2 linked regions of the Drosophila melanogaster genome follow. The protein of the gene in region 2 purifies or fractionates together with the protein of the main gene of each other region. This does not show direct contact. Each region holds a gene or a part of one and is shown on either strand. Other genes may lie near its edges. The genes, in order: mRpS30 and mRpL18.

The links.
Region 1: the proteins of mRpL18 (region 2) and mRpS30 purify together in Drosophila melanogaster (affinity purification with mass spectrometry, with the first as the bait; one large-scale study listed by BioGRID). This does not show direct contact.

What each region holds. Positions count from the first base shown.
Region 1 is NC_004354.4:15,784,420-15,789,113, forward strand, and holds mRpS30 (mitochondrial ribosomal protein S30), read left to right. Parts: upstream 1-1,627; 5' UTR 1,628-1,752; coding exon 1,753-2,210; intron 2,211-2,374; coding exon 2,375-3,590; 3' UTR 3,591-3,869; downstream 3,870-4,694. Other genes in the region: Paf-AHalpha (Platelet-activating factor acetylhydrolase alpha), read right to left, coding at 1-177, 246-641.
Region 2 is NT_033778.4:12,754,841-12,757,998, forward strand, and holds mRpL18 (mitochondrial ribosomal protein L18), read left to right. Parts: upstream 1-1,593; 5' UTR 1,594-1,713; coding exon 1,714-2,274; 3' UTR 2,275-2,333; downstream 2,334-3,158. Other genes in the region: Taz (tafazzin), read right to left, coding at 1,096-1,218; ox (oxen), read right to left, coding at 2,356-2,391, 2,458-2,589; Dgkepsilon (diacyl glycerol kinase epsilon), read left to right, coding at 2,905-3,063, 3,122-3,158.

The sequences.
Region 1 (4,694 bases), on a different chromosome or scaffold from region 2:
ATTTTTATAGTCGAACATATCGTGATGACTGATACTGCCGTCGGTCTGGACCAAACCCTTGTCAATGGCCACCGTCTGGACGCGATACAAGCCCTTGGTCAATCCATTGACCACCTCGTTGATTTTGGCATTCTTTTCGCGCAACTTATTGGGCTGCTGGCCACGCGGCAGTAGCGACTGCAAGGGAGAGATGGGAATGTCGATGATTTACTGCGGCTGGCTAATACCACAACTATTGTACTTACGGGCAAAACGATATAGGCGTTGGGCAGCTTTTGCCGGATTTTCGTTACGTTCGCGAGCACACCCTCGGCCACTTCCTCCGCGCTGTTCCGCACATTATTGGTGCCCACATGGAGGACGACGATTTTGGGATTCACATTGTCCAGCGCACCGTTTTCGATGCGCCACAGTACGTGCTCGGTGCAGTCGTCGCGAATGCTGAAGTTAAGGCAGTGCAGCGGCGCAAAGTACTTATTCCAGGCCTCCGTGTCCTGGACGGTCTCGAAGATGCAGTCGCCGAGGAATATCACATCCGGATCCTTTTCGCGGCAATCGGAGATGAACCGGCGATGTATGCTGTGCCAACGCTTGTCGCCATCCAGATCGGGCAATGGGGTGGGCAGCACACAGGGATTCATTTCGTCGGCGTGCTCAGACTCAGTTGCAGACCAATATTGAGTTTTAGTTAAAGATTCCGATTCCTATTCCTATTTCGATTTCGATTCAGTTGCAGTTTCAGCATGCGGATGAATGAGGCATCGTCTGCGGCTTAGTCTTACCGGATACTTGGGCGTTCTGCTCGGCTTGCAGTGACAGCGTTGCAGTCGTGGACAAACAATTGAACTGATAGTCGCTAGCATAAACAACTCCGTACCGTTGTTTACTTTAATAAATCGTTTTTATGGCGAAGATTTTTTTTTTGTTTTTTTTTTTTTGTGTTTTAGGTTACCTCAACATTAACATCCGTAAATGTCGTAGAATTATGTGGCCACCCTCGTGTACATGGAAATTGCCAAGGATTTAAGGTTGAAAATTTTTATAAGTTTATTTTAATTTGGTGTAGAAAATCTACGATTTTCTTGGTAAGCGTTTATGTTTTCGTTTTTAGAGAGATGGTAGATGTCTTGGTATTTTTCCAGGGCTGGAAAGTGTTGTCTAGCAATGTTGCACTTGGCACAGCTGAAAAAGATGTGGGATACGTTATCGAAAACGTTACACGGTCACATATGTTACTGTTTGTAACGTGCATTTTATTCAAAATTGTCAAAAGCGTTATCGCAGAGAAGTCTGTTAATTATTTTGATCTCTGTTGATTTAAGTTTACAATTGTGATTTTTAAGGCATGTGCCTTTAAGCCATATGCCATTATTTCAAGGGGAAAATATACCAAATGAAACAAGACTATTTTTTAGCTTTTTCTAGACAGCTTAAAAAATATTACGATGATTTATAACTGATTTCAGAAATAAAAAGATTTGAAACATAAGCAAGTTAAATTTTGTACCCCTACACGTTAAATAGTAAAGGACTATGATTCATTATGAATTATTATTGAACTGCATAAATAGAAATTATACCATTACTTTCACTGGCATCGCAAAACTTTCCGTCGCTACCTTGGCGCAACCTATTCTGAATCCAGCGTGCGGTCACACTGCAGCAATGACATAACCTAGTTATTGTCAAAAAACTGAAGTCAATTCTATTCCTTCGAAAACATAAATCGTAACTTGCGTTAGGTTCGACGGCATGTTGAAGCTTAACCGTGTTCGCCATCTGCGAACGACGTACAAGCGCTGTTTGTCCGGCCAGTCGCAGCTGCAGCTGAATAGTACGGACGCAGAGCCGGCATATCCGGAGATTCAGGATCTGTCCTTCAAGGCGCGCAAGCAGAAGGATGCGGCCAACTGGCACGAGGAAATCCGGCAGGTGCCGACGGTGGAGGAGAAGATGATCAAGATCAATATGCCCCGCTATTACGGCTTCAAGGTGGTCGACTTCAACGACTCGAAAATCCCCTACAATGCACTGCCGCTCACGCAACATTATACGCGCACAGTGCTCGAGGATTTGCCATCTGAAACGGATAAGAAGGCACAGGCTAAGGACTCCGAGCAGGAGCAGGAGCAGCCGAGCGTGGATGGTCTTTTCAAGGCGGCTCGCGGGGATGTTATTGATGCCCTCGAGTTTGCCCACGACTACTACAAGTGGGTACAACGAGGTCCGCTTTCAACGAACCAAGTTCTCCGGCGAGTTTGTGGACAGTAGTTGGTCCAACTCACTTAAGAACTCGGATTGGTTGGAGTGGTCCCAGTTACAAGTTCGACCGTCTGATATTAATGTATTCATTCTCCTCCATTACCAAGCGTAGGCATCTGGAAAAGCAACACAACTCTGCCGAATCGAACCCCGTTGAACGTGAGCGCATCCTAACGCAGATCATTGTAGAACAGCTGAACAGAGCTCTGCTGCAGTCGCTCAGCGAGGAGTACAAGCACCTGGATGAGCTCGATGTCGACTACAATCCACGCCACGAAGCGTTCTGGGCCGTTGGCGGCGTAGATCCTCCCAAGAACGTGCAGAAATCGAAGAAGGGCCGGGAATGGCAAAAGGATATGGCAAACGAGAGCGTTGATCGGATGGTTCAGTATACGGGAGCGCCGTATCTTGCCCTACGCCATCGCAAGCAATTGACGCCGTGGAAAACGGAAGCGGAAAGCGAAAACCTCGAGCTGAGCAAACAGCTGCCCCGTTTCAAGCACGACCCGCGAACCCTCGGCTACAGCACCAAGCATCAGCACGCCACCAATGTGCCAGGCTATTGGCCCAAAGGAAATGAGAATAACTTCGGCCTGCTCTCATTTCAATCGCGTGCACACCTGCAGATCCGTCCGAAATCGTTCGGCGAGCAGGATCAGCTGGAGGCATTGCATTCGCTGGCGATTAAATCGTCATACGCCTGGCTTTTGGCCCAGGCGAACTACAATGGCTTCAACACCTACAACGAACTGACCTATCCCATGAACACTCAAACTGTGATCACGAACGGCAGGGAATGGAGCTTTTATGAGTATCAGCTTAATACGCTGCTGCTGCACGGCACAAACGTGGCGGAAAATCCCCGTGTCAACTTCTGTCGCGGTACAAAGCCACTTCCACTGTACGCCGAGATTTCGGCAAGCGGCAAGTGCGTTGATTTCAACGATAACGCACTGCGGCACCTGCTCAATTTCTATGCCAATGCGCCATCGATTCAGCGGAGCATTGGGGAGCAGCAGCCGTATGTTGCCTCCGACGTTTCCGCCTATGAGAACGCCGAACAGCGTGACTTTATCAATAAGACCTTCAAATATTTGGCATCAAACCGACCGCGACACTTGGAGCTGCCCGAAATCTACCTGTGGGAGAAGCTATACAAGATCGATAACAACAATCGTGCCATGGAGGCTAAGAGACGCTTCTTCGAGCTGGACATCAATCCTTGGCAGCGAACGCTGGACACACATGACAAGGAGTATGTTCCACGTGCGGTCCGACCAGACGTCCCTAAGAATAAGAACAGGTTCAAGAAGACGTACTACCCTTAAATGAATAAATATAAAACACTTCCTAAGGTTACACTTGTTAAAAATGCTGAATTTTTAATGTGAAATACTGGATTGCAGATTCGGAGCAACGAAACGGTGTACAAAGTTTCTTTAAACTTTGATTAACTCAATTTTCCGCAAACTTTTGTCAGTATGTTAATGATTTTTAATATAAATATTTTGTTAAATTTCAATTTAAATTCTATGCCATACAAAGTATATATATTTATTAACTTTGTTATGCTTGTGGTTAAACACTTCTGTAAATTTATAAGCTAGTCTTTTTTATCTTAAATTCTTTCAAATAGATATGATTATACAAATACCTGGAATTTTGCCAATTATTAGTGCTGATGATGCTAAAACTTGCCAATGCAATGCTTCTTATCATTATTTAATTGTTTATGCAGCACATATTTATTCTAGATTCCATTGTTTATTTCATTTATCAGCACTGCAAACATACCGAAGTTATCTCAAAAAGTGGGTAAAATGCGGTTACACTGCACCAGAACCATATTTTTCGAACGTAAAAAAGGTTTATAATGCTATAGTGTAGTTTAAATCTTTTTACCAAATCATATATTGTTTGAACATAATAGTGCACTAAGGTTTATATGATATTCCATATAAGTACACTTCAAACTCTTACTTAGTCTGGTAATATGTATGCATTAATTAATTACTTGATTATTTTATTATCCCATTTATTATAGTAGTTTTACATTTACGATAATAGCTTTATAGTCCACTACATCAAAGTTAGGATTGCTGAAAAAGTTACCACTTGTTGGTTATTTCGGTAACGTCCCAGCTAACCGTATGGTATGTTATAACGGCCGTGCGACGGTCACACTGGATCTGAATAGTTAGGCTCGAGTAAATAACCAGTTTGAGACTTTACGGTGGTTCGGAAACTCGTATCTGGCGCTTCGGTTGTCCAAAAAGGTAGAGCAGTAACCTGTTGCATATATATTTCTTTTTTTTTTGGTAATAGTGGAAAGTGTAGTGCAGACAAGTCGAACCCAACTGATATTGAGTCGAAATTCCGTTGGGCAAGTGCTGAAAAATCTTGAATATTGATCGTGGAGTATGTGGATACGG
Region 2 (3,158 bases):
ATCTTATCGGGCCCAAGAATAGTTTCCTTTTGTGCTTGTGTCTAGCCAAACGCCTCTCAGTGTTACGCATTTTGATTTCTATTTGAATTATTCCTTTGTCAACTGTTCGACTAACCCAACAACCCCCGCAAAAGCCGCCTTTGTGCCACAGGTTAGCAGCATGCGCACTGAAAATCTGTTGCTGCGAGACACCGCACTGCATTTTCGCGCGAATAATAATGCAGGAAAAACTCACGTCGTCAGAGATCTATGGCGACCTTCACTCGGTTCGAGATGTATTACATTGGGCACCTGAGAATCTTTCGCATCCGGACGGCGGGAACTTTCGTGCGTAACTGATTTTCGTCTCCACTGAAATCGCCAAGTGCAACAAGCTCAAAAGCAAAAGCACGCACAAAACGAGGGCGTTTGCCCCCAAACAAAGAGAGACAAAGCGAAAAAGAGCGAAGGAAAGGGCCCCAAAGTAGAAGTAGTTAGGCAACAGTCAAGTGGTTGACTAGAGATTGTGAAACTATCTTTATCAGTTAGCAAAAGTGCTTAGCCGAGCGCTTCCGTGTATAATGATCACGCTGGTTTGGTTTGATATGATAAGCATTTAAATTTGTGCGCCCAGCGTGGTGGGTTTGGGATCTTGGTGCTTTGTGCAAGGTGGTGAGTTTGAACAGTGTTCTTATCAGTTGCTCAATCTGGATTATTTTTGTAGATAATAGATGCCTTTGTTTACCTTTGTTAGGTATATGCTAACGGACGTAGAAACTCATCAACAAATATTTAAAAATAAAGTACTCTTATATTCCAAGAGTTGAACAGCTTAAAATGATAATTCCACAATTAACTGTGTCTTTAGTGCATTTAAAATGAAGTGCTCATAAAAAGGCATTTTTCTTAAGTAGTAAAAGCACCTTTTAAATCGATTCCTATACATTTTTAGCAATGGCTAATTTAAATTTTCCCGCCACCATTGGTGGGATTGGAACTGGTGGTCAGTTCTGGAACGTGGTGAAAAAAGGAGAAAGCGATGGCCTGATTTTGTTTATATTTATTGCGTGTATTTAGGTGAAAAATTTCAGGGTTAATTGCTATAATTAAGCTTACCCGCGCCATTGCCCGGATCGGCGGTGTATATCCCTCGCTGATCAGCCAGTTTATATTTCGCGCTGCAGATGCGGCGCCCACGTGCCCGGGACGCCTTAAATTGGAACACACGACCATAAACATTTCTACAAGTTCTTAATTTAACGAGTACGATATGTGTGTAGATATTTGGCCTATACGGTCTTTACATAACCGGCTTTTGTGGGCCGAATAAAAATCACTTTGCAATTTGGGACGCGCGCACTGCTTGCTTCTTCACCCAACCGCCACTTCTTCACCTCAGCAGCAATCTCATGGGCGTACGGGCAGGAGGCGCCGTGTTCACTTGGCGCATGTCTGAAGGGGGCGTTATTGTGGTGGGGAGCGGCGAAAGTTCCAAGGCCAATAGAATCTACAGAAACTAGAAATTTGAGGATAAACCAATCTGAAACAGCTGTTTTTTGCCATTTACATCCAACTGATGTTTGGACATTTTACAGCACCAATAAATCGTTTACCCACACTCAGTTCTGGCAGTCTGGTAACACTAAAGGCAGCTCAAAATATTTTATCGTGGTTTTGTAATTTCCACATAAATATCAATTAAACGCGCGCTTTTTTCGGGTTTCCATCGCAAAAATGTCTCGCAGTGCTCGCCCCCTCACCTCCGCCCGTGTACTGCACAAAATCAAGGAATTAACAACCCCGCAAGCCAGCACTGAATACGTGATCAACCGGAATCCACGGAACTTGGAAAGATTACGCATTGCCTACAAGCCGGTAGGCTATCATCTGGAGAAACCAGGTCGTTCCTACTGGCACACTTTGGAAATCAACACCAGCGGCCGCTATGTCAGCGGCGATGTCAAGCACTTTGAGAATGGAACCATCCTGAGTGCCAGCACCTCGGAATGGGCCATTAAACAGCAGTTGTACAAGACCAACGACACATCTGCGTTTGTAAATCTCGGCAGAGTGCTCGCACAGCGCTGCCTGCAGTCTGGGATCACGGAAATGACCTGCAACGTGGAGGCGGTACCGGGTAGCAAGCTGCAGAAGCTGCTTCAAACCATTCAGGATAATGGGGTGTCCTTCAAGGAACCCTCTCGCCTGCCCAACGAGCAGCCCTGGGATGAGAAGAGGCATGAGAAGCCCTGGGAGGTGTCGGAAGACGCACTGGAAGCACCCAAATCAAAATAACCAAAAGAAACCACACTTAGTTATCGTTTCGTTTAGAATAAACGTTGATTATTATTGCTAATTACAACAAATCATGTTAATTTATTCGTATTTGCCCTTGATGTCCTTCCAGAGTTTCTGCAAAGCGGGGAAATCTTGAGATTTGGCCAGGAAACTTTGCTTACATAACAGGATTATACTTACGCCTTTGTTGATGCCCTCGAAAATCGCAACCGACGTGACATCGAGAGCGCGCTCGAAGAAAAAGGCCGACGCGATGATGGCCACGGCGTAGGTGGAGGTGCGCTTGAACAGGGTGTTGTAGATAACCTTCATGTTGGCTAGATTTTTGTTAAAGACGTCCGATTTGTTCCCAATCAAACTTTTTCCACACGCCAAACTCACAGCTGATTTGTTAGGTTGAGTTGACAAGCAGTGTTGGAAACGTCCTGAATCTAAATACTAGTGTCACTCCGCCTATCGAAATTACGCATTAGTGCTTATTCTTGAAAAGTGTTTTTAATTGAGGTCGAAGGTGTTTTTTGTTGTCTTTGAAGCGGTCACACTGGTCGATGGGGCAAAAACAAACGATTTGTGAATATGCCAAATTACCAGGATATTTAGCGTAATTGGGCCTTATCTGCGTGGACCATGGACATAGGCACTATTGAGCTGAGCGTGGAGGCGCTGATAGGATCCCTGCTGGCCCTCAGTATCCTCTTTGCCTTCTGCCGCAGCCTGCTTTCCGAGGACTTTGTGAGCACCTTCAAAACACGTCACAGCTGGAAATCAATAAAAGTGTTGGAACAGGTGAGCGGATTCACTTGCCGCGAAAGAGATACCATAGGATACATGCCCTTCATTCTAGGCCTGCTTCTGCAATGTGTGCGAGATCCTGCTAACCC